Oreochromis niloticus: one gene and its partners. The protein of the gene in region 1 purifies or fractionates together with the protein of each later gene. This does not show direct contact. Links are inferred from orthologs where the notes say so. Each region holds a gene or a part of one and is shown in the gene's direction. Other genes may lie near its edges.

Region 1 (11,328 bases):
CCTAAAAGGTAAACCTGTTTCTCCATCACCTGTTCAGCTCTGATGATTCAGTAAGGACATCTCCTGGTTTCATCTTCATGTTTCCCTCTCACCAGATAACCAAACCGATATCATGACCAGCAGCTTTACAGCTGTGGCTCCAGCAAACATCAGCTGATACTAGAAATTAATATTAAATAAATTCTAACAACAGCTGATCAAGCTTAAACTTGCTGCTGTTGTTTAACGCGACATCCGCTGGTTTCCTCTTTCTGGCGCAAAGTGGGCGATAAATAAACAAGAGAGAAAAGCCGATCAGCTGATCATTGATCAGTTTCGTGATTGAAGTAGAAACAGGAGAGAATGAGAGAAGAAGAGGCAGCTGTGCAGCTTCAGCTTTGTGTCTTTTTCATTTTAGCTGAAGTCCGGGACAAACTGTGTTCCTTTTCACCTCAGTACGTAATATTTTCTCTGAATACGAGACGATTCTGTTTTTTACGGGACGGTTGGCAACTCTAATAATTAACCGTATGAACAAAATAAAGTTCAACATCAGTAACATAGCACCCACCCAGCTGTATAGAAACTCCGTCATGCTAGCTAGCACGCAGTACGAAAATGTCAGCATACCGAAAATAAACTCCACCTAAACTTGGTTTATATCTGACCCAGATAGACTGCAGGTCATAACTTCTTACCTGAAGTTCAGTTCACCTGACGCGCGGACCGGCGGCCGCCTCGGGTCTCTCCTCTTGCCTCCCTTTTCCTTCATCCACCTGCTGGCCTCCATCACTTGCTAATGTTATTGAATCTGTGGAAGCTCCGCGATATCCACCACACGAAGTAACGAGTAACGAGCCTATCTAAATCCCAGTAACGAGTAACGCGTTCCTGGTTTTGGCATAATAACTAGTTACCGTGCTCGTTACCACAATAATAACGCGTTAGTCCCAACACTGGATTTAACGCTACTCCACACTACTCCGTTGTCATATATATCACATGTAAATGTCAAATGTATGTATCTGTAAATATATACTGTAACTCTAATGGAGTGAGTTCATTGTCAAAGTTTATATAGCCAGGTGTTCCAATCACTTCAATGGTGACAGGTGTATAACTTAAGCACCTTGGCATGCAGACTGCTTCTACAAACAAGTGCCAAACCATGCTACCTTTGTTAATATAAGCTAGAAGCATATTCTGACAGGAAGAATTACGTGCCAAACCATGCTACCTTTGTTAATAAGAGCAAGAAGCATAATTCTGATGGGACGAAATTACGTGCCAAACCATGCTACCTTGTTAATATAAGCTAGAAGCTAATTCTGACAGGAAGAATTACGTGCCAAACCATGCTACCTTTGTGAATGTGACCTACAAGCACACTTTAACGGGTAAAAATAAGTGGTAAACCGTCCTGGCTTTATGAATATGAGCTACAAGCATACTCTGATGGGCAAAGTTAAGTGGCATTCCTACTTGAATTTGTGCTGGAATTACTGTGACATCAGAAATGTGTACAAACTACTTAGGGAGGAAATTTTGACAAAGTAGGATGTTTTTTCAGAACAACGTCCTACCCATTTAAATTTATGCTGGAACACCAGAAAAAGTCGCCAGATTTGTCGCTAGTCGCTTTTTAGAAAAAAAAGTCGCTAAGGGTGTCTGAAAACTCGCTAAATATAGCGACAAAGTCGCTGAGTTGGCAACACTGTTTGGACTGTTTTCAAAGTATTTCAAAAAATTCAAAACAAAAAAGAAAACCGTGCATTTCAATGGGTATTCTCTGAGCATGCGCAGAATTACGCACAGCTGTCCTTTGATGCTTTGTTCGATCAAAGGATCAAAGAGCGCTGACGTCAAATTCGCGGCCACAAAAGTCCATAAATACGCCCTCTTCACCTTTGCAAACAGTTTTACTTGGAGCAGTTTCAGAAACAGGGAGTTGCGTTTTGCAAACCAGAAACCTTCCAGAAAGAGACTATTTTTAAATTTAAACAATTAAGCAAACATTTTTTCTTGTCGACACTTTGCATAAACATTTAAAGAAATGTCAGACGAAACATTTAATAATTCACAGTCCAACAGAGTGATTCAAGCGGAATCAATCAGACTGCATACGGTTTTGAAGATTGAAATGCCTAACTGTAGGGAGCTTCAAATGAAAATTGAACAACTCCAGTTGGAGTTGAGCACCCTAAAGCTCAAAAAGAATTATTATAAAGATAATTTCCATCGGTCAAGAGATGAGCTTAAACACATGAAGGTTCAGGCTGAAAAAAAACAGACACAGGTGGAATCTCTGGAGGCTAAAATCCAGGAACAGGAAAAGAACATTCAGACAATGCACCATGACTTTTTGGAAAAGGAAGAATCTCTCATTGAGCAGAACAGCAGCATTGCTGCTGAGTTGTCTCAGATCGAAAGTGAGAGAAACGAACAAAAGAAAGAGAACGCAGATCTCAAGGACGCTTTAGAGAGACTTGAGCAACAAGTGAGAGAAGCTCACCATAAAATAACAAAAAAAGAAGAGATAATAGAAAAACAAAATAGAGAAATATGCAATCTCCGATGTCAGGTGAGACAGGCTAAGGTCGAAAAACAGTCACAGGTGGAATCTCTGGAGGCTAAAATCCAGGAACAGCAAAAGAACATTCAGACAATGCACCATGACTTTTTGGAAAAGGAAGAATCTCTCATTGAGCAGAACAGCAGCATTGCTGCTGAGTTGTCTCAGATCGAAAGTGAGAGAAACGAACAAAAGAAAGAGAACGCAGATCTCAAGGACGCTTTAGAGAGACTTGAGCAACAAGTGAGAGAAGCTCACCATAAAATAACAAAAAAAGAAGAGATAATAGAAAAACAAAATAGGGAAATATGCAATCTCCAATGTCAGGTGAGACAGGCTAAGGTCGAAAAACAGTCACAGGTGGAATCTCTGGAGGCTAAAATCCAGGAACAGCAAAGAACATTCAGACAATGCACCATGACTTTTTGGAAAAGGAAGAATCTCTCATTGAGCAGAACAGCAGCATTGCTGCTGAGTTGTCTCAGATCGAAAGTGAGAGAAACGAACAAAAGAAAGAGAACGCAGATCTCAAGGACGCTTTAGAGAGACTTGAGCAACAAGTGAGAGAAGCTCACCATAAAATAACAAAAAAAGAAGAGATAATAGAAAAACAAAATAGGGAAATATGCAATCTCCAATGTCAGGTGAGACAGGCTAAGGTCGAAAAACAGTCACAGGTGGAATCTCTGGAGGCTAAAATCCAGGAACAGCAAAAGAACATTCAGACAATGCACCATGACTTTTTGGAAAAGGAAGAATCTCTCATTGAGCAGAATAGCAGCATTGCTGCCGAGTTGTCTCAGATCGAAAGTGAGAGAAACGAACAAAAGAAAGAGAACGCAGATCTCAAGGACGCTTTAGAGAGACTTGAGCAACAAGTGAGAGAAGCTCACCATAAAATAACAAAAAAAGAAGAGATAATAGAAAAACAAAATAGAGAAATATGCAATCTCCAATGTCAGGTGAGACAGGCTAAGGTCGAAAAACAGTCACAGAATCTTGCTCCTGAACCTGAGGAGCTTGTTTCTTCAGTCTCAGAAGCATCTCCTGATGTGGTCCCAACACAGGAGAATCTTGCTCCTGAACCTGAGGAGCTTGTTTCTTCAGTCTCAGAAGCATCTCCTGATGTGGTCCCAACACAGGAGAATCTTGCTCCTGAACCTGAGGAGGTTGTTTCTCCAGTTTCAGAACCATCTACTGATGTGGTCCCGACACAGGAGAATCTTGCTCCTCAACCTGAAGAGCTTGATTCTCCTGTCTCAGAACCATCTCCTGACATGGTTCCAACTAGTGGTTCATGGCATCATGGTGCCAAATGCCTACTTAAAATAGGTTTAGGTGTTGCCGCAGCAGGCCTTATTATACCTGCAGCTTACTGGGCCTTTTCAATGTTTAACAGCAATTGCGTATTTGCCTCTGCCTCTAGCCTCCTTGAGCCATTTTGCTACCTTAATGATGGATCAGTTCCCTTTTAAAGACCAGTAATGATGGACTGCTTTTCATCCACAGTCCAGAAAACCATATGTTGTTCATGTTAGACAACGTGAGCAACATATAGCTAACTTGTGCTCTCATTTTTCTTTTCTTTTGCCTCTCACCCCCCAACCAGTCGTGACAGATGGCTGCCCCTTCCTGAGCCTGGTTCTGTCAAAGGTTTCTTCCTGTTAAAATGGAGTTTTTCCTTTCCACCGTGCCTAGTGCTTGCTCATAGGGGGATCATTTGATTGTTGGGGTTTAATTGCCTTGAACTAAAGAACTTACAAACTCTGGTGAGGGGTTCACACTACAAAAGCTACAAATAAAAAAAAACAAACAAAAAAAACCCAAATTTGTTAGCAGCAAAAAAAAAAATAAAAAAATTTGTTAGCAGCAAATCAAAATAAAGAAAACAATTTTTGAAAAACATCTCTTACGGCTCTGTTTATTTACCTAAATGAACACTTGTATTTTCTGTCATAGAAGAATATACATTGTCCAAAGTGTCTGATAATTTTAAATTTAGCACTGCACTGCATGAGATAAACTGTGGCACAGACAGCTGTCAGCCTGGTGAGGGAGAGTTCCTCTTCAACCTCCAAACTGAACGCAGTTTGTTACTCGCAGCATTGCAAATTTAGACAGCAATTTCTTAGAGTCTGGTTTAAGTCCTGAAATGACATCTCCTTAACAGCATAGAAGCATCCCACCGAGCATCCACAGTCATTACATTGTATGTAGACTGTATGTGAAAAAAAGAAAAAAAAACCCAGAAAGCTAAATAAGAAATGCTTCTAAGCAGTAGAAGGTTGTTGACAGTAGCAAGCTACAGGTCTCTCAATATCTCTCAATATTGCTCTCCCTGAGAACCCTGTGCACAGCTAGGTTTAAGGTATTCTCAGGTATTAGAATTCAACACATTTAAGTATAGTGACATAAGTAAGTTGATGGTTCAGGTCACCTCCTGCAGCTTGCTGGAATTCTTGTCTGGATTGCCTGGGCTTAAACACTTGCTTAGTTGGCAACAAGTTATCAAGTTAGTGGGTCACCTGAGACACGCTTTGTCTAATTCATTGCAGTATTTTGCCATTCTCAGTGAGAGAGGAGAGGCTGCTATAAGTGGGTTTTGCTAACAATGTCCCGGGGGTACACGCTGCAGTTTCGTCATCGATCCCACCCTTTTCAGAGAAAGTGACTTCTGTCACACTCTGTGAAGACCCTGTGCTTGTCATAGGAAATATGCTACTGGGCAAAAGGGCTATCACAATAGTGCAATCAGAGATAACGAACAAGGGATTTTATTCCACTTACTTCTTGATTTCAGATACTATATCAATGTCCTGCAGACCATCACTCCAGGAGAGTGGTTCACCTTAGTAGTCCTCAATGACGCTTACTTCCATGTGCCAGTTCATTTTGAACACACAAGGTTTCTGCATTTCACCTTTTGGGAAGTGTACATCAGTTTGCTATCCGTTGGATTTTTAATAACTCCAATAAGTAAGAAAGGAAATTCTAGTCTGAATGTACTGTTTTTTGCATCGCACAGTTACTTTTTTGTGACGCAACTGTGAGTAACTGTGCGTCACAATACAATATTTTATGACGTAATGTTTTTTAAAAAGTAGAACGATACAATCCTTGTAAGTTAAAGAATCGGAACGCTTTTCTTGCTTCTGGTCGTACGGACGTTTTAGAGTGCAACACAAAGGAGTCACGCTTGCAAGATATCAACACTGACGGTACAGGTTTTTGTGTGTTTGCTGATAAGCAGTGGAGTAAACCATGGAGGTCCTGGGAGGACAGTTTAGCGACCTGACTCCACAGGAGCTGGTGGCTCCTGTTAACACCGTAGCTGTGAGTATGAAGACCGGAAAGGACCGAAAGTCTGGCAGCACGAGCACAGAGATGCTAACGCTAGCGTGGAGGCTGTTAGCTCATAGAGATGCAGAGTGAAGGGGAACGTCCTGTGTCCCAGTTTGTTGTTTCTGACAGATATTTTTTCTAGTGTACAATTTGGAAAAAGTGCTTAAGCATTTACACAGCTCGAATAGTTTTCAGGTTATTGATAAAACGGACTTGTTTATTTGCTCGTTTCCCTTTTTAACAGGAAAAATGGAAGTTGTTACCAGCCTTCCTGAAGGTAACAGAACACACCAGCCCTTACACACTTTTACTAAATTTCAATGCTTCTTGATTAAAATATGTTTAAAGTATGGTAGAAACTAGTGGGTATACAGTAACAGTTCACTGTCATGTTTATAAAAACAGTTTGAGGTGATCTGAGCTCTGTGAGATGGTGTGTTACCCTGCTGGAAGCAGCCATACTGTGGTCAGCACCAATGCTCAGCAAGCCTTGGTGTTTAAATGGTGCTTAGTCAACTGGGGACCGAAGTATGAGAAGAGAATGTCCCCTAACCCTTTTATACCACCACAACCAGCAGCCTGAACTGTTGACACGAGACAGGATGGATCCATGCTTTCATGATGTTCACACCAAATTCTGAAATCAAAACTTATTAGACCAGAAAACCTTTTTCCAATCTTATATTGCCCGAGGTTGTTGAGTGTGTGCAAACTGTAGCCTCAGTTTTGCGTAGTGGTGTAGTAGTAATCTGACTTACTGTTGCCTAGTTCCTATCACCCAGAGCAGTCAGACAATAACAATGACATCTCTATTTAAATAGTACAGTTCATTACATGACAGCTGAAAAAACCCTGTGTAGGTTTATGATGACTTGAGGCAATGAAAAACAATTAAACAAAACAACAGCATCTATTAGCTGTAGGCCTGTGTGGCTAAAAAGGTTTTGAGGCTGTTTTTCAATGTACACGCAGATGTAACTGATCCTAGGTCAGCAGCCTGCTCCAAGGAACTGAGGCAGAATAACTGAAAGTACCCTCAACACACCAAGGCTACGTTGACACTGCAGGCGAAAGCGCATCAAATCCGCCTTTTTTGACCCTATGCAACCCATATCCAATCATGGTATGACAGTGTGAACAGCACAAATCCGATATTTTCAAATTCGACCTGGGTCACTTTCGTATGTGGTACTGAATCTGATACATATCTGATGTTTTAGAAAGCGACTGCTGTTTGAATGGTCATGTCGCATTAAATCCGTCTTTTACGTCACTGACACAAGACAGACACCAATTATCAGCGCCAGAGAAGCGCCCAAGAAGACATCGTGAACGCTTCCTGGCCATCCGGTGTAGATGTTAGTGAAACTGTTGGGAAGACAGCGTTGGAGAAACATTTTATTTGTACTGTATAATCTGCAGATTCTGACAGAAATCTGCAACTATCCTTTGAAGCACCGCTCCTGTCTAAAACAGCAAAAAGGATAATTATTAGGCCATATGTAAATAACAAAATAGCTTTATAGCTTAGAGCAAAATTGGGAAACGTAAAGTCCGAAACAAGTCTTTATATTAAGGGCCATCAGTCAAACAATACTGTTTGGTCTGGGTCTAAACAGCGCGTTGTGTGACGTCTTCTTTTGCACATGCGGGCTGCTTTGAGGGTTCACACTAGAGCGCATTTGCTGTCACATTTTATTTGTAGTGTGAACAAGCAGACAAAAAAAATCGGATTTGATCAAAAAATCGGAATTGAGCATTAAGACCTGCAGTGTGAATATATGATTTTGAGAACAGATCTGAACCTGATGACCTGAGATGTCTGTACTGGGTACCAAATCATCAAAAGCTTTGTAAATTTCTGTGTACCCATAAGGATTCCAAGGCTGGGTTTTAAATGAATAAGGGAATTCCAACTGATGATTTGGGGAGTCCTAAAACTAGAGCGTTGCAATAAACTAACCTACTAGATGTGAATGTGTCGTCAAATTTCTCATAGTGAGTTTGAGATAGAAAATATAATGTTAGAAAATCCCTAAGTTACAGAAAGCAGTATTGGTAAACTTATTGATGTGGTTATCTGGTCATGTTTCTTCTGATTCCTTAGCAAGAGATTTTTTGGCCAAGGAAATATGTTTAGTAAAAAGGGAAACATTTGAGTCCAGTATGGCCATGAAATAATGAAATATTGCATAATGACCAAATATACCCTGTACAATGTGTCTTGTTCTTTTACCCTGTTAAAGCTTTAGGTCATGGACCTTCTTTAAATTACTTTTTTTTTGTCATCAAATATCAAAGTATCCTCCTGTGTAATGATGACAGAACAGTTGGTGGGTCTACATCTGTGTGAGTAATATTATTTGGGAGAGTAAACATGTATATCATGTTGTGTGTTTTGCAGGTGAAAGGTTTGGTAAAGCAGCACATCGACTCATTCAACTATTTCATTAATGTAGAGGTAAAACACGAGCATGTCTTTGTCTGTTGCTGCTTTTTCATGTACACTTGGATTTTGAGCATCGATGTCTCATTTCTGCTTCTAGATCAAAAAAATTATGAAGGCAAATGAGAAAATCACAAGTGATGCTGATCCAATGTGGTACCTCAAGTAAGTCACTGTGTGCATTCACCATCACTGACTTTAACACTGCAGACATGCACAACAAGTCGTTTTGTTTTTATTAAAAGAGGAAATAATGGATTTTTAAAAATTTGCAGATACCTCAATATCTACGTTGGCATGCCGGACGTGGAAGAAAGCTTCAACGTGACCAGACCGGTCTCTCCCCACGAGGTGAGAGTAGTCTGTGTTTCTGCTGTTAAATATGAACCATTGTTTACTGTGGTTTAATTAAAGTTAAATAAAGCTTTTGAGTAATCAAATACACAGCTTGAAATGAGTTGTAGGTAGGAAGGTAGATAGATAGATAGATAGATATATATATATATATATATATATAGAGGAAGATGTCTCACTCAGGCATCTCTAGACTCAGCATTTAGTTATAGCCCTCATAGAGGTATTTGTTAATTATATTTGAGTGCCTACACCTCCAATATCTTGATGCATGCTCAATCATCCAGGTAAGTAAATCTCCAAAAGTTGATTCTGTTCATCTGGACGTAGCGTTTTCTGGGAGAAACGTTTCATCACTCATCCAAGTGACTTCTTCAGTCTCAGCTGACTGCAGGTTTCCCCAATCTTATAAACAGTACATTTGCATAATGACTGAAACCAGCCTACTGAAGGAACAATGGGCTGGGAGGTCAGTTCCTTAATCATAATTATGCAAATTCTCATGACCATTGATCAACAACCACTGATCAAAGCCCACTGATCAATGGCCATGAGTACCATTCACAGAGAGTTGGGGAATGGCTGCAATCATAGCATTGTAAGATGTACCCTTAGGCCCCCTCCTCGATTCAGAGATGGTCTTTCCCTTTTCACGTAAATGGCCTCCTTGACTCCGCGCTCAAACCAGCGTTCCTCCCTGTCCAGGATGTGTACATCCTCATCATTGAAAGAGTGTCCACTGGCCTGTAGGTGTAAATAGACTGCAGAGTCCTGGCCTGACGAGGTTGCTCTTCTGTGTTGTGCCATCCGCTTCGCCAGAGGTTGTTTGGTTTCCCCGATGTATAAATACTGGCAATCCTCCTGGCACTTAACAGCGTACACTATGTGACTATGTTTGTGTCGGGGGACCCGATCCTTGGGGTGGACCAATCTTTGGTGCAGCGTGGTTTAAAAGCCACAGAGTCCCGGTGTTTAGAAAAAAATGCGTCTCAACTGCTCCGATACTCCTGACACATATGGGATCACTACAGGTTTTCGCTTGGGCAGCGGTTGTCCTTCTCTCCTGGATCGGCTGGAGCTTTCTTTAGGTGCCTTTCTAGCTTTGACAAAAGTCCAGCTGGGATAACCACATTTACTCAGGGCCTTCTTGATGTGCTGTTCTTCTGCATCCCTGGCCGCTGTGTCAGTGGGGATGGTGTTCGCTCTGTGTTGTAGCGTCCTGATGACACCCAGTTTGTGCTCCAGTGGATGATGAGAGTCAAACCTTAGATACTGATCCGTATGTGTAGGTTTACGGTACACGTCAGCTTTTAGATGTCCCCCATTACTGATGGAAATCTCACAGTCTAAGAAGGCTAACCTGCCACTCTTCATATCCTCCCTGGTGAATTTGATGTGTCGGTCCACCGAGTTAATGTGATCCGTGAAATGTGGTACGTCCTGAGATTTGATTTTCACCCAGGTGTCATCCACATATCTGAACCAATGACTTGGTGGTGTTCCAGGGTAGGATAGAAAAGCCCTCTTTTCCAACCTGACCTGCAATCAGCTGAGACTGAAGAAGTCACTTGGATGAGTGACGAAACGTTTCTCCCTCAAAACGCTACGTCCAGATGAACAGAATCAACTTTTGGAGATACACCTCCAATACTTTCCTTTAAAGATGATGAGATATAGCTCAGAGTCATCTGTCTCATCCCACAGTGTCGTCTCAGAGATATGACTTACTCTGCGCCGATCACAGTGGATATAGAGTACACCCGCGGCAGTCAGAGGATAATTCGCAATGCGCTGCCCATCGGAAGGTATCTTTTTTTCCCCCTCCCCTGCTCCTGTTCTGTGATGCAGACATATTTATATTGCATTTATATCAAATCTACAAATTTAAAACCTCTCCAGCAAAGCTCAGTAAGCCAACAAGTGCCAAAAAAATAATTCAGCTTTTGTGATTTTTAAGCTTTGTTTGCTGATAAACTGACCTTCTTCACTCATTTGTGCTGACGCATTCTTCTTTATAACAACACGGTAATAAGCAATATTCATATTTTATTAATGTAGATAACTCTGCTTTTCTCAGGATGCCCATCATGCTGCGAAGCTCTAATTGCGTTCTCACGGGAAAGACGCCGATGGAGTTTTCAAAACTCAACGAATGTCCCCTGGATCCAGGCACGTAACCGTAGCACTCTCATTGTAACTCTTTCCCCCTCAAGGGCCTCACCTGGACCCTTAATGATGAGTTTTGGCATCTCAGTACATATCAGTAAAATGTTTGATGACCATTAGAATAGATTCCAGGTTTTTCCAAGGGTGGCTGTACAGGCAGTGATCACCCTCACTAATTTCTGATGCACATTCAGAAAATTTGTACTATAAGCAGGTCTGAAATATGACAGAAACGGCTCATTACTGAAAAGAGATTCAAGGAGTAAAGAGTTAAAACTGCCTTTACACACTCTGAGAGTAATTAAGTAAAAGAAAATGACTTGCCATCAGGTTCTCCAGTTAAATTGATCAGTGTCCCCTTTTTTTTTCCCCACAGGGGGTTATTTCATTGTAAAAGGTCAGGAGAAAGTCATTCTGATCCAAGAACAGCTGTCCAAGAACCGAATCATTGTTGAGCAGGACAGGAAGG
Region 2 (10,488 bases), on another chromosome or scaffold:
ATATGCCAGTGGCTTTACACTCAACAGAGCATATGACATGATGTCTGAGCCTAATTTAGAGGGATAATCTGGCTATGTCTGTTTGCTGTCTTTTTTTTTTCCTCAGTGAAGCAGCACAGAGCTGACCTTATAAAGTATCCTGTGACCAGACCACACCTCTGTCTCAGAGCCGATGGAAGCCAAAGGCAAGCCTGGGGCTTCAGCTCCAAAGGCAGCACCTAAAGTGGAGAAAAAGGAGCCGGCTGCCCCACGCAAGTCTGACCCTGCCCCTGCAGCTCCTGAGCCGGAGCATCGCCCTCCTGCGCAGGATGGAGCAGCGGAAACAGAGACAGCAGCAGCAGGTGACGAAGCTGCAGCCTCCGGCACAGACTCTCTGGAACACCTGAAGCCCTTTCTCATTGGTGGGGCCGTTATTGCTGCGGGAGCCATCTTGCTCGGAGTATTGCTACTGGCAAGGAGAAATTAAAACCAAATCATTATCTGAAGTTAGGGTATTTATTGGTTGATGACTTAGATGGTCGCTGCTGATTGGTTCACAGACTATCATGATAAAGATTGGGGACTTTTTCTTTTTTTTTTTTTGCCCTGCTTTCACTTGTAGTGAATCAAGTCATTTGATTTTCGATCAAGGCTGTATATGGAGCATAATTACACATATTATATGCATGAAGTTGCTACAATACTGCATCTGAAGTGTAATTATATAATTATAAAAAAAAACTCACAAAAAAAAAATCTTAAGCCAAGCTAAAAACCTGAACTCTTAAAGGTAGCTTATTCAGCTGCTTTGTCTGGTTTAATCTAATTTGAACAAATATTGACAAAAATGTTTAAATATTTGTACATTCTTGCACCAGAAATGAGCTTGGTTCACTTTGCTAAAAGAAACACGTGAAGCCTGAAATCATAATGTTGAACCTTTGAAATATGAATAGCAGCTATCAGAGTTCTAGGTTTTTACTTTACTTTAAAATGAGACAGTTGGAAGAGAAGAGCAGAGAATAGCTGGGATTGTGCACTGTGGTGTATTGAAAATACTCTGGCTAAATCATTGATTGCCTAATTGAAGGTACTGAGTTCCTCTATAAGTATAGAGCGTATGAGACATCGAACTGGCGAACACAAGCAAGTACAACACAATAAAAATTCAGAGAGAACACATAAGTATGCAGGGGTCGAGGAATGGCACGTGAAGGGTCGTTGGATGTAAAATATGTATACTGTGGACCAGAGTATAATAGTGCAGTTATTTATTATTGTAGAATAAGCAGATTTATTTTACTGTCAAATTATATCACAAATCAATAACCTTTCGTGTCTTACACAGCAGCCGCAGTCATGCTGTTTCAATCTGTTTACATCTTACAGTAGATGTTTAGCTGTAGCAGGCTGAACAGCCATTAGTGTTGTGTATCAGGTTGAAAGCCTGCTGCCAAAACATGATAGTTTTTTCTGTCCTCCCTCTGCCCCTCTTATGTTTTCTAAACCTTGTCAACCTCATTTAGGAATTAGTAATGAGAGCATCCTGAATACTCTTATACAATGAAAGTGTGGTGTACATGAACTATTGTTCTATAGTTGGATAGAACTATAGTTTAATCAAAAGGGAAAAAAGCAGTCTCGGTTTTCGTTCCTGCACTCATTAACTTGTACAGCTGTACACATTATTTCCAACTCACATTGCAAAGCTCATGGGGGGGATTGTCCCCCGTTCCATAAGTAGATGCATAAGACAGTTCTAACACATATTTAACTTTAAGGATATGTATACATTTTACACATTACTGGCCATTAACATTGTGCTAACACTCAGCACTCATCACTACACTTAGCACCCCAAGCATGTCCAAAACATAGATGGCCTACGCCAACACTGAAACAAACTTCACCTTACATTGTACAATACAGTGTACCAAAAAAAAAGAAGAAGAAGAAGAAAATTCCTATTTTCATAATCTCAACAGCGTATAAATGCAATAATTCAGATAGGACTCCTCATTTAGCACACGTGCGGTAGCAAGTTAAATTATATAAACATTGTCATAATGTGTGATGTTAGTGATGGAAATGATGGCGATGTTACATATGATGATAATGAGGGTGATGGTATGCTGTGGTATAGTATGGTGGCTGTAATGATAGTATTGATGGTTATGATATATTTTTTATATATTTATAACATATTTACCTTATGCACCCTCCCCTTAGCTCCCAAACTTCTTAATGTGTAAAAAGAAAGTGAAACCCAACTTTATTAAAGGCAGTGAACCAACCCAAGTGAGTATGTCTTTAATCGCAACTTCAGCTTTAAATGGATTATAAATGATACTCAGTTTCATCTGAACTTTATATTTACATGTCTATTTAAAAAAAAAATTGTTTATTGATGTTGGCAGAGTTGAACCTTTTTCTTGTTTTTTTTTTTTTTTTTTTCATATATATATATATATATATATATATATATATATATATATATATATACACACACACACACACATATATCTATATCTATATCTATCAACTTCTGGTTGACTTAATTTTACTTTCTGTATTCTGTGATTTGTGATATTTACTACTATAATTTATTATTTGGGAATTTTATTATCATTTCAATTTTATTCAGTTATTTGTGACAACAAAGTTTATAGTTCACCATGAATGTATCAGATTGCATCAGGTGTCCAGGAACGTCTTTAATCACTCTTTTATTACCCCATTTAAGGCACATTTCATGTAAAGTATTAGTTAGGGTGTATTGTTGGGGTCAGGGTGTATTGTTATGTAATTCATTTTTACTCCAAAATCAATATCTATGCTGGCTCACAGAAACCATTATTGTGGTCAGGTCTACTTTGCTCAGCACGTCCTCCCAGAAGGATGTTTCTTTAATGTGACATAGGATGTAGTTATACCGCAGAGAAGTATTGTGTCTGTTTTTAAGGCATCTGCAGTTTGCTCTATAGTTAGGGTGGCAGCTTGTTGTCTGCTGAGTCAACTTTATGGTCATTTTTAGAGCTGTACTTATGTGATGCCAATGCTATATGTGAGATTTTCATAGCTTGGCTGCTGCTTTTCTATCATTTTGCCAATGAACAATTTACATATATTATTAGTAATATGGAAGCTATAAGGGTACATAGAAACTGAATTCTCCCCTAATATCCCCATAAGTTTCTCTTATTAATGTGTGTGTACAAGATAATTTACTAGAAAAGTGATATGCATGTCTAATTTTATGCGTACAAAGACGCGTTATAATGAAAAGAAACACCTAATCAAGCTTTTCGTTTTACCTCTAAACGTCATAAAATTAAATTCACTCCGCTGTTGCAGATGAACAAAGGATAACCATCAGCAGGGAAACAACACATTTCCACACATGAAGTAAATTCTCTTATTTGCACAAGATATTTACCACATCACGTGTTCATAGATATAAATATAAAGTCCATACACTTTAGGCTTTTTTAAATTTATAAGTTAGAGATGATTCTAAATGTAGTTAACCGTATAGTCACCTTTACCCATGCTACATCTCTCCGAGAAGTGTCGTGAAATTTGTCTGGATGATTTTTTTTTTCCGGATCTTGATGACAAAAAGTGAGGCCGAAGTAGTCGTTTATTTTGAAAGATTCTAACAGGAAGTCTTCTTGTTGTTGCGGCTGGAGAAAGCGAAGCTAGCAGTTACAACTTCTCCGGTGTTTGTTTCTCTCAGAAGACCATAACTTGTGTGCTTTAGCGAACGGTAGTGGCAACGGTGAGTAAATAAAACGTGACCTTCTGCTTTTTGTGGTAAACAACCAACACTGCGATTCGCAACATGTTAAAGCAGCTACATTTATGCTAAGCGCGTGGTTACGCATGCTGAAATGGCTAGCTAGGTGTTTTGTTCAATTAATTTGATAACTGCTCCTGAAAAAACACGCACAGATACAAAAAATAACAATAAACAACGCACAGGTAAACACTGTTTGGGTTTATCACCTTGCATAATTTATAGTTGTCTTAGCTACACATCAAAGATACAGTATTAGCATAATATTGACGCTAGCTAGCTCGGAATTAGCCGGGCACCTACTAATACTTTCAAGTTAAACTTATCGCCGTTTTTCGTAGATCGATGAAAACAAAATTGGGTCGTTAACATCACATAGGTGTTTGATACGTAATTTTATTGGGTAAGTTAAAAACCAGGTCTCTATTCACAGGTGTGTAAACATGATCATCCCTGTACGCTGCTTCACGTGTGGCAAGATTGTTGGTAACAAATGGGAAGCATACCTTGGTCTTCTTCAAGCCGAGTACACAGAGGGGTAAGACTAACACATTCTGTTTTGTTCCACTGACATTGCCTCTTAAATTGTAAATAACTGTTGTATTATGGCAACACAACTTAGTAGCAGTGCAGTCGCTGCACATTGAATTTTTTTCGTTTGTAGAGGTTAAGTGGTTTGAAGTCAACTTGAAAATGAGTTGATGGATTAAGTGAATCATAATTGCATGAGGCTATTTAGACCATTTTCCTCAGTGTGTTCAGTAATGTCCATGTACTTATTCATTCAGGATATAATACATTAGCTCTGACATTACTTTTTCCTTCTTCCTTCTCAAGTGACGCCCTGGATGCCCTGGGACTGAAGAGGTACTGCTGCAGGAGGATGCTTCTTTCTCATGTGGATCTTATTGAGAAATTGCTGAATTATGCGCCATTGGAGAAATGAAAACTAGAAGAACTGTTTGGACTTTGTGCAGGCTGAAGTTTTGAGAGTTTGTGTTATTAATGTGATGCATTTTTCTAAATAAAGCTGTTGATGGCATTGTTACATGTGCTTATACCTTTGCTGTCTTGTCTAGTTGCAAAGCTTAGTCCCCACACTTGTTCTATGCATTAAAACAAAGCAGCATGATAAATCTTGTAGAGAGACTTTCAGTAGTTTTACATTTTAATGTGTTAACAGTAGTCCAAACACAGGCAGTTTAAATGATTTTTGTGGTCCCCAGTAAGCAGATAAAACAACAACTTGGATTTATGTTTATGGATTTGTTTTTTTTGTACATTTAATACAAAAAGTGATAAATGTTACAGTTACATAAATTAGGAGGCGCTTCTGTGCATGCAAGCTTTGAACGAAGCAACGATTCTACAGTCTTTATCTAAAATTACAGATCCTGGAGAACTTAAAAAAGAAAAAAGTACACCTTGGACTTTAGAAGATGCATATCCGTAGTTTAATCTGGAATTCTTCTACTTTTGTCCCCCCAAAAAAAGGCCTGTCTTTGCTCTGCTTCAGTCACAGGACTTCAGTCTAGGGATGGGAAAATAATACATTTTGAAATCCACAAATTTTACAAATCAGATCTACACTATACTGAACTTAAAAGTAAGTGTTTGTATGTTTTCAGAAATACATTTCCTAACTGAGTTCTGTCATTTTAGGATGCATCCTGTGGCGTTTCACACAGCAGTATGCATATTTGTGCTAACCCCTTACATATATCTTGACTAAAAGTTCTGCATTTGATCAAGTAAAATGTATTCATTTTACTTGATCAAATATAGCCGTGCTCTGTCAGTGTCACGGTGCAGGCAGATTTAATAAATTATAATATAGTAAATTTATAGTAGTAAATTTAGCGAGTTTCACTTTATGAACCATATACACATACATAATACAGTAAACTGCCAGAAGGATTCAGTCACCGATCCAAATACCGTAATTGAATTCAGATATTCAATCACTTCCATGGCCACAGATGTATGAAATCAAGCACCTAGTCATGCAGACTGCTTCTACAAACATTTATGAAATGTAACTGAGCTCCTGCTCTCAGGACAACATACACTCAGGTAACACTTAACCATCTTCATAAGTTCATATTAAACCATAAGTGACAGATGTGAACTTTACTGCTGAAGTTACCTCTTTTCATAGTACATGCCTCAGATCTGATGAAAAGTACTTCTAATATGAGAAGATATTGGCTATAAGAAGCTTTTATACATTTATAAACCAAAATGAAAAAACTGACACTAAATAATGAGCTACTATTACATCACAGGACAAAGTGCTGCTGAGTTCCTGAACAAATTGTTGAAGGTTGAAGGAAGTAAAGCACAGTTATTGTGCTCTACATTAATAAATCTGCATTATCAGGTTTACTGAACAAACTAAAAGATGTTGCAAGTCTTTTTTTAAGTTTTTTGTACTTATTACTGTGTAATAAGAAACCTAACACGACAGAACTTCTTGAGAGCAGGCCACGTGTGTTTTTTCTTGTCACCACAAGAAAAACAAAAGGTGAAATAAAAAATGGCTCATTTATTCTAGTAAGTTGTTCCAGTGAGTTAGCAATATTGGGATGCAACCTATGTGGAACACACCTGGGCTTTCCTTCCATCAAAAGTCAAAATGTTTACTGGAAAAATAGTAGATATTCCAAAAACGTGAAACCGACTGATGGTAAAATATAATTGTAGTGTACAAATTAATATTAGTGAAAAACTTACCTAATTAGTGGTACCTGTCTCTGTGATCTCTGTGTCTTTCCCGTTCCCGTGAATACGCCTTTTCCCTTTCTCCACTCCAGGAACGCTCCAGGTGTCTTCGAGACATTCCTGCACCTTCACAAACAGAAGAATAGTCCCTATCACGCTCTCTGTCACGACTCCTGTCCCAGTCTCTATCACGCTCTCTGCCACGACTCCGTTCCCGGTCTCTATTACGCTCTCGACTCCGTTTCAGGTCTCTTTCACGGTCTCGGTCACGGCTCCATTCCCTGTCTCTGTCCCGCTCTCGCTCTCTGTCCCGACTTCTGTCCCGGTCTCTTTCTCCAGAGCGACTTTGTTCACTGAAAGGAAATATGGTTTTGTAACAAAGTAAGAAATCTAATGCTAGGTCCAACCTCAGTATTAGTTCATATACATGCGTATATATACGTTCATATACGGACAACAACGATAGCGTTTTGATAGGCAGTTATACAAACCTGTAGCCATAGTTGCCCTGGATAGAGACTAGACAATCCTTGAGTGACGTGACCAGCGTCTGGCATCGCTCATCTCCATACACTCTGGACTGCTTAATGATGGCAATGGCAGTTAATAGCGTTTCCATGGCCACCTGCAGGTCTCCTGATGTAGAAATTTAGGAGATATTAGAAGCATTTGTTTTTTAGTAACGAAGCACTTTAAAGTTCCTAGGGTTAGGTTTAATAAAAAGTTTTTGAAAATGGGCGACAGTTACTACAAAATACATTAAAGATAGGAAAGTATCTCGGAACAGAAGCAGCAGGGAGGCTTGTTGAGTGAGAAGACATAAAACCTGGCCTGAGGTGATGATTCACCTATGTGTATACAGAGACCCAGAGCACGCAGCCAACACAAGGCTGAGAGGGCTTTGGGATAAATCTCTGCATGTTGTTAAATGTGCCAGCCGAAGCTTCATCTTAAACTCCAGTAGAAATTGTTAGAACTAAGAAAGGCTCTTATTTCACTCTGATACACCTAGAGGAAGTAACAAAATGTATGAAGAAAGTAGAAATTAAAAGTGTGCAAAGCTAGAAAAACCATAACCAAAAACCTAAAGGCCCCGAAGACACCCGTTGTGTTGTAAGAGCACTGACAATCAAATCTGATTAAACCACAACCAAACAGTCCTGATAATAAAGATGATTATTTCCAGATTTTTAATTTAATTTTCTTCTTATTTTGCCACAAATATGCTAAATTCTTGAGTCGCTCGTTATTCTTTGTATTTTTCTTCAAAGGAGCCAGTCTTTCTTGTAATTTTTGCAACTGCAGTATTTTCAATAAACTGAACAAGTGGAGAACAAAAAAAAAAATAACTGGCAGCCCCCCCCCAAAAAAAAACTATCTATAAAAAGTCATGTCCTTAAGAAATAGGAATAATCTACCAAAGAACTAGAACACAGTGTCTACAGCCATCTGTAAAACATGGTGGAGGCTCCATCATGATTTGGGGCTTCATTTCTGCCAGAGGTGTCGGGATTTTAATCAGTGCTGATGGAATTATGAGTATCATCAGATTTTGATCCACCATGCAATACCATCTGGAAAGCATCCAACAGGTAAAGGCTTCAATTTTTAATGCACTAGAAGGATAACATTGTAAAAAAAAAACCAACAACAAAAAAACAAAACAAACCGCACACAATGATGGGTGGCTCAATGCTTTAACATACACAGTACTTTTTGTTGCAGAGATCAGACTGATTAGCATTAAAACAGCATTTTCAGAGCCTTTCAAATAATGAATAAAGTCTGTAATGACTTATGTACACAACATAGTATTTAGTTTTTTATCACTAGTAAAAAAATGTATTCAAATTATATCTAAGACAAAAATATACTATGATATGTGTGTGCTTCTTAATTCAAGTGCAAGTTGTGTTGAACAACTTTACATTTTGAGTGTTTCTCCAACTGTCTGTTAATCATAGATAATAAGCATAAAAAACTGTATCCCATATGAATGTATACTTACCAGCTGTTGCACCACTCACAGCTTTTGTGATGGCACTGCTGGCAATGGTTCTGTTTCTATTCATAAGCTCCTCCAAATCTCGATCGGAACTTTTAGGTGTGTTTCTGTAAAATATACAGTTATTAGTAAAAGTAACTATTGTTTTAATGTTTTCTTTTCTTTTTTGTAACTTCTAGTCATAAGTAATCTCTATTCTCATTTATGCCTCTCTGTATCCTGCTCATTGGTTCACTTTCCACTGGAGGTTTAATCTCATCTCTCTGTAAATGCCTTTAGTGTGTCAGTGGCTATAAAAATTAAATAATGTGTTCTCACTTTTGTTGGCTGTAAGCTTTGCTGCTGTGCCCATCCTGTGCTGGGCTGAAGTATGTGGGATGCATACCAAGAGGCGGGTGGCTTGGGACAGGGACTGGATGAGGAGGGAACAGCGGGGTTGCCATGAGCGGAGCGATTGTTTGTGGCATATGTGGAAACAGGGGAGGTGGATGACCAAAAGAAGGGCCGGGTAATGGAGGAAAGCTGTTGGCAAGTGGATGTGATGGAAAAAGTGGCGGTATAGCAGACGGGGTGGTCTTCTGTGCTAATAATACTGAGAGAATCTCATCTGACGACTCAGATTCCTTGGTTTCTTTGTTAGCTCGCAAGGGTACACCTGAAAAAACCAAAAACAAAATACATCTCCATGAAAAATGATAGTTATCCTGACATTTAGTAATACAAACTAAATATCAGTGGGGGGTTTTCAGAGTCGTCTTCCCCTTACGTTTGTTTGCTTCTTCTTCAAAAAAAGCAAGGTTCTGACAAGTGGCATAGCGACAGTCTATCCTTTCCCCGTTGATTTTACACTGTGGTGCTTTTTCCAACATTAGTTTTAGTGACTCGTCTGACGTTATCACCACTTCTGCAAAGCTGCATCACAGAGTAGGAGATAAAATTTAAAAGAAAATACAAAAATGCTTTATTTTGTAAAGGTTTCTCTATATTTTACACAATACTCACCCTCTTGACACACCATTACTTCTGTCCTCAGCAAACTTGATGTCTGTGATGTTCTTCACACCCAACCCTTTGGCCATAGATATTAGGTCCTTGTCAGTTACCCACTGCAAGGATGAGAAGGTTTGTAAAAAAGAAAAAAAAACTGGTAGGGGGAAAGTCATTCAGCTTTATAGGTATAACAGATCATCTACTGTATCTATGTAGCCATTTGCTGTACTGGAATATTTAATATCGTCACAAAAACTGATAACATACTAAAGTAATGCCAACTGTGTAAACAAATGGCAAGCATGGTATAGTGTGCTATCTGTCTTGGCATTATATAAAGAACCTAAAATCAGATTATTATTTATTTTTCCAGTAATGTTTTGGTATTAACAGTGTTTCTATAATGGATGAAAATGTATTGGTAATGCAAAACTCAACTCACCCATGGGAAATGCCCAACATATACAGAAAGTCTCCTTAGATAGTTTGCTCCTTTTGGGGTATTTGCTGCTGTTGATTTATCCTCTTCTTTAGCTGATGTCTCCTTACGTAAGGACTCCTTGGTAGCTACATTCTTGTCTTGATTAACAGAACCGGTTAGCACGGCATCAAAAAGTTCATTTGCTTCTGCAATTCTATCCAAATCCTGTGAAGTATAGAAAAAGAATAATTACAGTACTGGGCAAAAGTCTTGTCAATGCTGCATATGACCACCTTTACTTTTCAACACACAAACTCTGTTAATTTTGTCTTTTAAAAAATATTTAACTAAAGAAATATACTAAAATATACAACTAAAGCCCAAAGAAACTATTCCAAATCGGTTCTTTAAGTTTCATCCTTTTAGTTAAGTATTTTTTCATGTCATAGGTGAGTGTTAAGTAGCTCAAAAACTTGCTAACATATATTCCAGTATTAGATAACGTAAAATTAAAAAAAATTAAAGGATGTGGCACCTTCCTTCTATTAAGATAAGTACCCCAGTTTTATTTTGACT
Region 3 (11,328 bases), on another chromosome or scaffold:
GATCTGTTGGACGTCACAGCAGAAGACCAATAAGCTAACGGCGAATAGTTTGACATCATCGCTGAATTTCTAAGAGGAGGTAAGAAAAATTAAAGTCAGAGTGAGTGCTCTCTCTAACACAAAGGATCACAGCTCTATTTTCTGATGGTACTCACAGAGGCTGAAGAGATTTGAGGGTTTTAACTTCATCTGAATGCAGCTCTGGGGTCTGAAGGAGGGCGACCAGGAGGAAGAGGAGGGGTTTGACTCCTCCTACAAATTCTGACGTGGGTTTTTTGAAAGGGATTTTTTTTTAATTATTGAAATTTTGAGTTTCCAGTGTTTACATGGCTGTTATCATTTACTGCTGTAAACATGTTATAATATGAGATCACTGTCAGACCACTGGAGTCCAGGTTCAGCCCACAACTCGCCTCAAAAACACATCAAAAAGTAAAGAAAAGAAAAAAATTCTTCTTCTACTTTTCCTTGTCTGCTGTTCCAGTTGTGGACGCTCTAGTTAAACATCGCCACACACAGTACTGATGTCAGTGTGTGTACAAATAATCACTAATCCACAGGTTCAATCTGCTCTTACGCTCCGTTTCAGTCAGTTTTTTTTACCCTTGGTTCAGTATGATGCCACTGAGTACATTCCTTGATATGGTCGTCTCAGGCACACAGCTCTTGCTGAAAACACATCATTATTTTCAAGATTAATTCTCAGAAATGACATATTTAAAGGAAAAAAATGTTCAGGAATCAACCCAACTTCTCCACACTTTACTTTATTAATGACTTTAAATAAAACTCACAACATGTTTCATAAACAGAACAGAAACCTGCTTGATTTTGTGTTTTTAAATTATTTCATCCTTTTGCCAAATGGAGACCCGGTGGAGCTAAAAATCAAATTAAATAAATTCCTTTTAGTCCAATAAATTCAGTGTGTGGAAACGTAACTGTATTAGGTGATTTTCTCACGGTTACAGGTGGTTACGGAAGAGGTTCAGGCTCAGGAAAGACCATCAGAAATCTTCTGTGTGAGCTGAAATTCATAAAACAATGTGAATTCAGTCTATAGCAGAGCGTTCAGTAAACCAGATAATAAATAAATAAATAAAACAAGATTAACTGGTATAAGAGCAGCTTAGAGATGGTAAAGATCAGCGGTCAGTTCAGAGGCAGGAAGCATATCCCTGTATTAGGGCAGGGTCTACCACACTGTTCTGCAAGGGTAGGTCCACTGAGAAGTCAGTGGGCGGAGCCTGGAAGCGTTGGCGGGGGGGTCGCCCTCCCCTTTCAGGGATGGGCAGCTCTGAGTGGTGAGCAGGAATTGGCGAAGTAAAGAAATATGGATGGAGGAGAGCCTGCAGTAAGGAGGAGAGGACAGGCAGAGCACTGATCAATAATCAGTTTATTAAACTTTATCTGAGTGATAATGGGTGAATGGGAGAATATAATGGCTACGTTCCAAGAAATGATTCTTTATGTAAAAATGAGAGGACCTCTGACCGAGCCCTGAGGAACTCCACCTTTGAACTTAAGGTCTGCTTCAGGTTTCTTACCTGTCTGGCTGAGCAGCGCTGTTTAGATGGATACACCAGGAACTTATAGAGCAGGTCCACTGCCTGAGGGGGCATGTCAGGGACGATTTCCTCCAATGGGATTGCTGGATTCTCCTTAAAGGTGATTTTATTGTAATCTGGCAACTCCACTATCTCCTGGAGACAGACAGGAGAGGGATTAAAATGTTTTAACCAGTTTCACAGCCATAGAAGAAAAAAACAAGACAAAATTAAACTTCGCAGAGTGAATTATTTTACCTTAGCCTTCAGATAAAATCTCACACAGACCACAAAGATGTCGCCAGACTTCAAACAGTTGTAGGTTTTTAGAGTAAACACACACAGTTTCTTTTATCAGTTTGGTTTGGAGTGCCACAAGGATCAGTTTTAGGTCCGATTTAATTTCTCTACATATTCATCATCATTTACTGCTAGTCTAAAAACATTTAAACATTTTAAATAAAGCTAAACGGAGGCCAACCAATATTTCAGGCAGATGATTGCAGGCCTATCACATATAATAATATACTGATGATGATTATGATGTTGACTATGCACTGAAAAACATTATTTTAAAAAATAACACATTGCGTCTTTTTAGCACATTTAAAGTTAATGAACGTGGATGTGGGCGGACATTTATATGCACTATGTCCAAAGATGAAAGAGTAAACACTACCACAGTGTGAATACACTGAGTGAATACATGTGGAAATTAGGCAGTGTTCCAGTTTATTTTACATCCTCATTGTGTTTACATTTTCACGATATGTCTTTTATATAAAAGACAGAATGTGTGAGATGATACTTTGATATAAAGCTTAATACTTAACCTAATACAAAAAAAGATCGAGAAGAAAATGAATGTATATTAATGTAACGTCCCCTGAAGTGATGGAAAAACCAGTGTGTATCTTACAGGCCAGCTGTCCTGAGTCGGGGTTCCCAGCACTCTGAGGACACAGCAGAGCTGCTCGATGTCGTTCTCTCCAGGAAACAGAGGAGACGAGTTCAACAGCTCCCCAAAAATACAGCCGACCGCCCTGAAACACACACACAAGCGCACACACGGACTAAACAGTAAGCCATGACTTCAGACTGCTGCTGCCCCCTGCTGTTCATCTCTGATCACTGGACCAATTTACACCTGAGCAGGAACTGTGAACACTAACAGAGTTAGCGTGTACTGAAGCTACAAGCTTACTCTTTCTTATTATATGGTCCCATGTTACATAGTATGTTAAAGAGTAATATATAATAAAATATGCTGATACAGGAAAAGAATACAAGCAGGCACAACAGAAACAAAAGCATCTAGGTTTATTGAGTAAAAGCTAATCAGCAGAGGATTCACAGTAGATAATCAAATCAAATTTATTTGTACAGCACATTTAAAGACCAAAGTGCTTTCCAGTAAAACCATGATACAGATAAAATCACAATATAAAATATAAATTACAGATATAAAATAATGACATAATATAAATGCAGAGCCAGATGAAAATCACACTAATTAGCCTCGAATGCCAGGTTAAACAAGTACTATGTAACGTAAATGTATATAATGTAATGTAAGCTATAATGATCGAACAACAGCAAAAAAATAATAGTGTGGGCGCTACTTTTAGCAGCGTTTTCAGGGTTGTACTCACCACAGGTCGACTCCCTCGTCGTACTTTCGGGCTCCGTACAGCAGCTCAGGGGCTCTGTACCATCTAAACACACACAGTGGTCAAATGTAGCTCAGTGCATTTACTGCACATTACTGATAAAGTATCAGTAATATCCAGTTGAAAGTGGTGATTATTTTAGAATGAACTGAACCAACAAGTCACATGACATGGCGACTTTAACATGATTATTATTTACTGGTGTAATGAGCACCTCAAATCTGAATATGTGAATCTGTTCTGTGACACATTTGTTCACCAGTTGAGCTTTAAAGCAAGTCTGAGTGAATATTTAAAGTATCAACTGACTGCATTTTCCATGTCACCACATGGATTTTTCCCAGCAGCACTAAAGCTAATGCTGTGCTTGTGCTTACTTTATAGAGCCATTTTCTGTATTACATTCAGCCATTCAGATACTGCATTACTGCATTTTATATACAAAAGTACTTACTTTTAGGTTCATTATATTGCATTTAAATTTTCACTTGAGATCTTTCATTTTACTGTCATTTTTCTATTTAAATGAGCATTTTGCTCTTCGTGTTTTTTACCTCACTGAGTTCTTTTGGTAAGTCATACTGTATTTTATTTTGATTAGCTAAAGCTACCTGCTAAATAAAGTATTTCTTATTTAATCTCATCTTATCCTATTTACCTGGTGGCCACCTGGTGGCTGTACAGCCTCTCTCCCTGCTCGCTGAACAGCCGGGCCAGACCAAAGTCTGCAATCTTCAGGTGGCCTGAGGAGCTGATGAGCAGGTTTGCTGGTTTCAGGTCCTGCAAACACACAAACGTCATTTTATAATTGGTTTGATTTATTTTGTTAAAGAAAAGAAACCCGAACACCACCTTCTCACCTCCTCCTGCAACACCTCAGACTGCAGCAACTATTCAGTTTTTTAGCATTTCCCATATTTTCAGCTTTTCATTTATTATGAATAACCAACAGTATTTAAATAACCTTGTATGCTTAAGTGTTGCTTGTTACAAACACAGGATTCACTGAGAAAACAGTCAGATGACTCATTAATGATAATAACTGTTAGCTGCGCTCACCCGGTGCATGACATTGTTGTGATGCAGGAAGGCCACGCCCTTCAGCAACATCATCATGTAACTTTTGACCTGCGCAGGGGTCAGAGGGCGCTGGGAATTCCTTATGACCTCAGAGAGGTCAGACAGCATGAAGTCGAACACCAGGACGAAGCCCGTGCCGTGAGGAAAGACGTCCTTCAGCTTCACCACCTGAGGAGAAAGTCACAGAAAGAAGTCCTGCATCCCTTCAGACTCCAGACACTCTGCAGCTTCTTATAATTTTCTCATATAGCCTAATCTCCTTTTTATTAACATGTCTGTTATGCTTGGCTCTTTTCTTGCTGCTCTGCTTTGATCGTCTATGTTTTCCATGTACTAATTTTTGGTTTCTGTTATATTTTGTTTGTGACATCCCCCCAGCCACCAGGGGAGCTGGAGCATATCCCAGCTACCATAGGGCAAGAGGCAGGGTACACCCTGGACAGGTGGGCAGTCTGTTGCAGGGCTAACACATAGAGACATACAACTATTTGTACTCACATTCACACCTATGGGCAATTTAGAATAACCAATTAACCTAACCCCACTAACTGCATGTCTCTGGACTGTGGGAGGAAGCCAGTGTACCCGGAGAGAACCCAGGGAGAACACGCAAACTCCACACAGAAGGGAGTCGAACTCATACTCAGGACCTTCTTGCTGTGAGGCAGCAGTGCTACCCACCGCACCACCGTGCTGCTAAACACTAATCAAATTTTAAGATTAAAATGACTCTTATCTGTAAAAACTGTCTGCACATTCACTCACATGCTCGTTGTCCTTGATCTCCTGCAGTGCTTTAATCTCCCTTAGAGCCTGGTTCGGAATGCCGTCTTCCAGCCTCCTCAGAGCCACTTTCTTCAGAGCCACCGTCTCCCCTGTCTGACACACAAGAACATTTCCATGTCACATATCTAAGCCGCTGAGGTTAGACCCCAAATTTAATGCTGATCGGATTACAAAAAAAAGAAAAAAAGAAAAAAAAAAGAAATGAAGTAAGATGCAGACATAAAAGCACCAGTCCGTCACCTCAATATGTTTGGCCTTGAAGACTATGCCATGAGCTCCTTCTCCTGTCCGACCCAGAATGTTATACTGCTCCATGTTTTCATGAGCGTTTAAAACAGCTTCAGTTAATCTGGATTTAATCTGGTCACAACTCTCACTGATGTTTTTGTTAATTCAAAGAGTGTGTGGTTTGAAGTAAACCCCCAATGATATACAAATCAGCTCCTTGGAACAGCAAACCAGAGAGAGGAACGCAAACCTCGAACTTCACTCAAAAATTAAGCCGTTCACGATGCTGCGCACGATTGCTCAATAAGATACAGTTATTAAACTATTATTTTAAGCCCAGTAAAACTTTAAACCGTTAACTTAAATTCGGCTTATATTACATATGCAACAACAAACAGCTGTAAAGAAAAGTCTCTCAGAAAATAAATCCTGACCACGGGAAGCGAGACAGCTAGCTGTTGGCTAACGTTGCCTTGGCAACGTCTTAACTCAGATAACCCAGCTAAAATTTTAAAACCTGTTACTGTTTAACTTCTGCTGCCGGCTTGACACGCACGCTTGTTAAGAAAGAAACTACAAAAACGACGATATTTAATTTTTTTAATACGCATTTTCATTCAGGACGTTTTAATAATTGTTTCGTGTTACAGTAGCTAGCTACAGAGCCGCCCGTGGTCTGCCATGTTTGTTTACAGTGACGTCATGAGACAGGACCTCCATAGAGCCAGAGCAGGTAGAAAGCATTAACCAGAATCAACGTTTTATTTTGTTTTATTTTATTTTTGATTCTTTTTTTGTTCTTGTTTGCTGTTTCATTTTTTAACGTACAAACTTAACAATTTGACTTGAACATTTGATTCGATTAATGATTAAAAAGCAATTTAGTTTATTTTTTGGTTTATAAAGCAAGTCTTTTGAACTGCATAGAGATGTACTTGATGTGTCTAAAATTTATAATCTGCTCAGGAAAATGCTTCAAATTTCCCTGACCGACAGACAGACTTTTCTGAATCCAATTGGGAAATGTTTGTTTTACAGCAGCAGGATAAAGAATAAAAATAATTCACTCCGTACTGGTATTCTACATAACGAAAAAGGCCTTCTATTCTACTATATTAAAAAATAAAGTAAGAAATTTTTTTTAGAGTTTCCGAGTTTATGCTATCATTAATTGACAAGCTTTTGCAGCGTTGCTGTCGTTTCGTCTTTTCTGTTTTCACTAAATCTATTCTTTGGGTTCATTTTGAAACCCGGAAGTACTTGTTCACACTTTCTTCTCATCCGGTGTAGAGTGGCGTGTTTACGTCCTGTCTTAGGCATGCTAGCCGGAGAGTTTGGTGTGCAGAAACATTAAAGTTTACGACAGAGAGATCGGGCAGTTCGCAGCTGGACTTTATCCGCAGCTCAACCGAATGTTTTTTCTGTTATTTGTAGCTTCTTTTAAAGAGAAGACAGTGAAGAAATGTCTGCTCCCGACAATGCCACAGCTAGACCTAACGTGGACCAGAAGGTCCTGCAGTATGAAACCTTCATCAACGAAGTCCTGAAGAGAGACTTACAGTAAGAAGACACTACAGCTGATGTCTGAACACAGTTTATTATGTCCTTACAGAGAGCTTTATTCAGTTACAGAACTTTAAAAACTAAAGTAAAAGAAATGTAATCTGTAGTTAAAGTAGTGCAAAATACTTGTGTAGATATGAGTTTATGAACTCAGATTTTTATCCAGGCAGACTTTGAACAGGTAGTAGAGGCGATATGAAGGTCAATGAGGAGTGACTACAAATTAAAGTCATTTAAAGCTTAATTAACAGCCTAATAAAGGTCAAGTCTCACAGCTGCTGATTGTATAATAGTGCTGGTGTCATTTTGGTCCCCCTCCGTGCCTTAATTACTTGCAGACTGATTATTAAATATTTACACTCACAAGTTGCTTTTTTAGGAATACCTGCTCAACCCAAATATCTTATCAGCGATTCATGTAGCAGCAACTCAATTCATTTAGGCATGTAGACGTTGTCAAGACAGCCTTTGCGTGCAATGTGTTTTTAATACAGTGGGATTGTTATACATGTCACTGCTGTGCCAGCACTGCAACAACTGGGGCAACAAACCAGACAGAACTGGAGCGTTTTGACCACACTAAGAGGAAACCTCTTACTGCTTCACATTCTGCAGCCAGTACTGCAGAGCAGAGCTCAGCATGAGCTAACAGAGTGCGAAGCACATCCAGGGACACAAGCTGTTTAGGAAAACTGTGGAGTACACTTGGCAATTGGGTCAACAAGCTCCTTCACAGCTCCATTAGAAGCAGCCTCAGACCATCTTATTTAAAGTGGATCAGTTTTGTTAATTTACAGCTTTATATTGTTTTTCTTGAACACTATGACACTAGAGTAGCTTTGCATGATTCATAGTTCAAAATAATTCTTTTTTGCCTATGACATGACTGGTTTAGCTCCCCAGACAGCGGGTGGGTGGGCTATAATAGGGATATCTCCTCTCAATGACATCATACAGATTCAAGACTTGAAAAAGTATTTAGAGCAATCTAAGGCGTTAGCCTTTGGTTCACATGGGTTACTTGTACATGCACAGACCCGACTGGTTGTGTTTAATGTGAACACTGACAATTTTATTAGGGTGTAAGAAAAGAAATACAGAAATTACTTTGTACAGTTACAGAACAAAATGGTGCAAAAATCTAAAAACTACACCTAAGAAGGAGCTCAGTTATATAGAAAGGATACAATAATGAGCTTGAATCTATTATAAGTACACATGTGTGATGGATAAGAAGGGTAGATCTAATCTTACAGGTATTTATGTGGTTCTTCAGGTTGGCATCTGAGTGTTCAGTGACACAGACTAAAGAGTTCAGGTGTCTGAAATGCTGTTTGGTGCTTTGAATCAGATTTTCTTGGCGTGTTTAGGCTGTTTGAATTATTTTGGTGCATCTGAAGGCGTTAATGTTCTCTGTAAATCAAGTGACGGCTGTCGTTTGGCAGGAAGGTGGTGGAGCAGAGGGATCAGGTTTATGAGAAGATCTCTCAGTACCTGCAGCTGAAGAACACCATACAGAGTCTGCAGGTAAACGCACACAAAATGTACTGTGTTATTTTGAAGATCTGTAGGTTTTTCAGTTTAGAAAAGAAGAGATTTCCACATCAAACTGGAGATCGTTGTAGTGTTTGTGCTGGCTGTCATTCTCTGTTAATGTTAAATGCTTCTGTCTGCTGGTTAATGAGCTGCAGACTGAGCTCTGCCAATACAGACATCTCTCTCTGTAGCTTCTCTGTGTGAGCTGTTTCTGTAATTCAGCACACTCTTCTGTGAGGAAAGATGGTGGAGCTTATCGGACCTCCATCAATACAGCTGAGCCTCACTGCAGCTGTTTATCCAGCAGATCAATACATGTGGCTCATTAGGCCGAGAGCTGTGAACCCAAACCTCCATCGTCTGGATCAAAGAGCCTGAAACTACAGCTGGAAAATCAAAACATTCAGACATTTTACCTCCACTTTTCAGATATTTAAAAAAATAATTTTTTATTTGTTTTTATTTTATTTAGAGGATGGACGTTTTTATTTTAGTTTTCAGATATTTTTTTAAATCACTCTCATAATCATTGATGTCTGTGTAGGTTTTCAGTCATCCAGGTCATGGTAATCTAAGGAGCTTGGAAAGAAAAGCGACTCGACTTCTTTAAGTTTCTTGAAGACGTTTCATCCAAGAAGCTTCTTCAGTTCTAAAACTAAACGGTGAAGAGTCCCAGGTCTTTAAGTCCTAGTGGGAGTTGTCCCATAAGAGGGTCGTTGACCCGACTATTAATCATGTGCCCCATCACACACCTTGGCTCATGTGATTTAATACTTTGAACTGTCCAACATTTGGTCTTAGAACTGAAGAATCTTTCCGGATGAAACGTCTTCAGTCACTTTTCTTTCCGAGCTTCTTACATATTCACTGATATATTTTTCTGTGGAAACCCCGCCAAACAAGCCAAACTCATTCAGTCTCTTTTCTAACTGTCATGTCATGAACGTTAACCTCTAACATGCTGTCTGAGGCCTGTAGACACTGAGATGGAGTATTTTTTTCTCTGAGCTTGGGCCGCCTGTTCCACGAGTGAATGAAAGTCACACGCTTCTTTGTGTTCCTGCAGGAGGCGGGCTCTCAGCAGCTGAAGACAGACGTTGATCTTGGCTGTAACTTCTACGTTCAGGCTGAAGTGTGAGTTGCTGACACACGAAGGTCACCAGCAGCTGTTCTGCATTCGAACAGGCAAAAATGCTGCGTTTAGGCTAATGAAGTGTGCTGCGAGACTCCAGAGAGGCTAGAGCATCCGTGCTCTGTGTTTCCAAAAGGATTTCAGTTCCTGTTTAAACTCAGTTCTCTTTTCCTTCTCCTCCATCAGTGAGGACTCATCCAGGATGTTTGTGGCCGTCGGTTACGGTTTCTTTGTGGAGATGACTCACGACGAGGCTCTGAGGTTCATCGAGAAGAAGACGAGTCAGCTCACAGCGTGAGTTCATTGTCACTGTAACACTATTAAGATTAAAAGTAGGAGAAAAAGCATAAAAATGTAATTATGTTTCAGACATTTTTCAAATGAGCTCAGAATTTCACTTTGTTGTGAAATTATTTGAAAAAAATATGTTAGAACTATTTATTTTGAAATGTCCTGATTTTGTTTTTAGATATTTTTGGTGGGTTTTCTCAATATTTATGATTTTATTATTAATTTTATCTTTAGATATTTCTCAAGTATTTTTTTCACACTTAAATTTTCCATTTTAAAACATTGATATTTTTGTTGTATTATTATTTTTTTCTGACAATTTCCTGTTTTTATTGTACTTTAAAATTAATTTTTATTTGTTTATTTAGAATTTAGAATTATTGGAATTATTACTAATTTCTCTATTAATAATATATTACTAATATTTTTTATTTTATATTTTCTTTTTTTTATTATTATTATGATTGATTATTTTTTACGATTTGTTGTTGCATACCAATGTCTATTAGCTAGCTCATGTTAGCTCTTTGTTAGCACTGTCACTTTTTGCCATGCTAACCCTGTGTTTGTGTTACAGCTTCACGGAGCAGCTCACAAAAGACTCTGCCAAAATAAAAGCCCATATCCGCATGGTGCTGGAGGTCAGTTTCTTCTCAGGTGGATTATAGGACAGTTTTTATATAATAATAGTTTCTGTTGGGTGCAGGAGTTTTCCTCTGGCTTATACTTAAGTACTAAATAACTTGTTACTCATTTCTGAGGATTTTACAGTCAATGAAGTTTGAACATTGAACTAGAAGTAAAAAGTTTTACCCATCTAATGAAATACATCAAGATCAGATTTGAATATGTTCAGTTAAAACACTGTTTTTCAGTATTTACTGGTGACAAAAGGGTTAAAATAGTCAGATTGATCTGATTAATGACCAGATGTTAAAGAAGCAGGTAGAGAATCTGATTGGCTTCTTCATGTTTCCCTACTCAGGGTTTGAGGGAGCTGCAGGGCCTGGGCGACCTGCCAGAGAGCAGAAGAGGAGACGTTTTCTAGACTTTCCCACCTGACCAGCTGCAGAGGACGGGTTAACGAAAGCCGGCTGCTGATGTCAACGGTGTGTTTTGAGAAAACAGGCTCGAGGAGAAGGAAAGACTTCAGGACTAAAGCCTGAATCCCAACAAGTCCTCACAGAGCTGAAGAGGAGGATTAGTGCCTGAGCCTTCTCCGAGTCAAAACTCACAGTCATGAAACACGTACTCTCGACGTGACTTTGTGTCTTTGTGAAACTCGTCTGTTGAAAATCAGAGAATATTCCTGTTTTTTTGTTTTCTTCAGTGTCACAGTGAAGAAGGAGCTGCTCAGAGATACTCCTGCAGCGTCTAAACAGACACTTTCAGTCAATGTGACAAATTCAGGTTCAAACAAACCTGATCTCATAGGTTGAAAATAATGTGACAGGAAGTGAGTTTTCACTGTTTGGAGGTTTAAATAAATTGTTTT

Evidence for each region.
Region 2: the proteins of polr3b (region 1) and polr2l purify together in Homo sapiens (affinity purification with mass spectrometry; 5 studies listed by BioGRID and IntAct, with this or other methods). This does not show direct contact. The link is inferred for Oreochromis niloticus from reciprocal best matches to the Homo sapiens genes POLR3B and POLR2L.
Region 3: the proteins of polr3b (region 1) and uxt purify together in Homo sapiens (affinity purification with mass spectrometry; 3 studies listed by BioGRID and IntAct, counting the BioPlex papers as one, with this or other methods). This does not show direct contact. The link is inferred for Oreochromis niloticus from reciprocal best matches to the Homo sapiens genes POLR3B and UXT.

What each region holds. Positions count from the first base shown.
Region 1 is NC_031972.2:56,762,887-56,774,214, reverse strand, and holds the start of polr3b (DNA-directed RNA polymerase III subunit RPC2), read left to right. Parts: upstream 1-5,698; 5' UTR 5,699-5,812; coding exon 5,813-5,884; exon of another isoform or gene 5,885-5,885; intron 5,886-6,137; coding exon 6,138-6,170; intron 6,171-8,297; coding exon 8,298-8,354; intron 8,355-8,439; coding exon 8,440-8,504; intron 8,505-8,614; coding exon 8,615-8,690; intron 8,691-10,397; coding exon 10,398-10,498; intron 10,499-10,770; coding exon 10,771-10,862; intron 10,863-11,235; coding exon 11,236-11,328. Other genes in the region: uncharacterized protein LOC109202896, read left to right, coding at 2,033-3,094. UniProt on the Homo sapiens protein: Catalytic core component of RNA polymerase III (Pol III), a DNA-dependent RNA polymerase which synthesizes small non-coding RNAs using the four ribonucleoside triphosphates as substrates.
Region 2 is NC_031965.2:19,335,701-19,346,188, reverse strand, and holds polr2l (DNA-directed RNA polymerases I, II, and III subunit RPABC5), read left to right. Parts: upstream 1-3,605; 5' UTR 3,606-3,757; intron 3,758-4,208; 5' UTR 4,209-4,218; coding exon 4,219-4,313; intron 4,314-4,612; coding exon 4,613-4,721; 3' UTR 4,722-4,835; downstream 4,836-10,488. Other genes in the region: cleavage and polyadenylation specificity factor subunit 7, read right to left, coding at 5,288-5,306, 6,523-6,849, 6,988-7,132, 8,505-8,608, 8,820-9,156, 9,268-9,413, 9,504-9,607, 9,934-10,137. UniProt on the Homo sapiens protein: DNA-dependent RNA polymerase catalyzes the transcription of DNA into RNA using the four ribonucleoside triphosphates as substrates.
Region 3 is NC_031984.2:4,339,090-4,350,417, forward strand, and holds the start of uxt (protein UXT), read left to right. Parts: upstream 1-6,569; 5' UTR 6,570-6,773; coding exon 6,774-6,871; intron 6,872-8,319; coding exon 8,320-8,401; intron 8,402-9,476; coding exon 9,477-9,544; intron 9,545-9,728; coding exon 9,729-9,836; intron 9,837-10,410; coding exon 10,411-10,474; intron 10,475-10,818; coding exon 10,819-10,881; 3' UTR 10,882-11,328. Other genes in the region: erythroid transcription factor-like, read right to left, coding at 1-59; cdk20 (cyclin-dependent kinase 20), read right to left, coding at 1,158-1,349, 1,548-1,703, 2,467-2,590, 3,200-3,262, 3,876-3,997, 4,277-4,465, 5,063-5,176, 5,324-5,398. UniProt on the Homo sapiens protein: Involved in gene transcription regulation. Acts in concert with the corepressor URI1 to regulate androgen receptor AR-mediated transcription. Together with URI1, associates with chromatin to the NKX3-1 promoter region.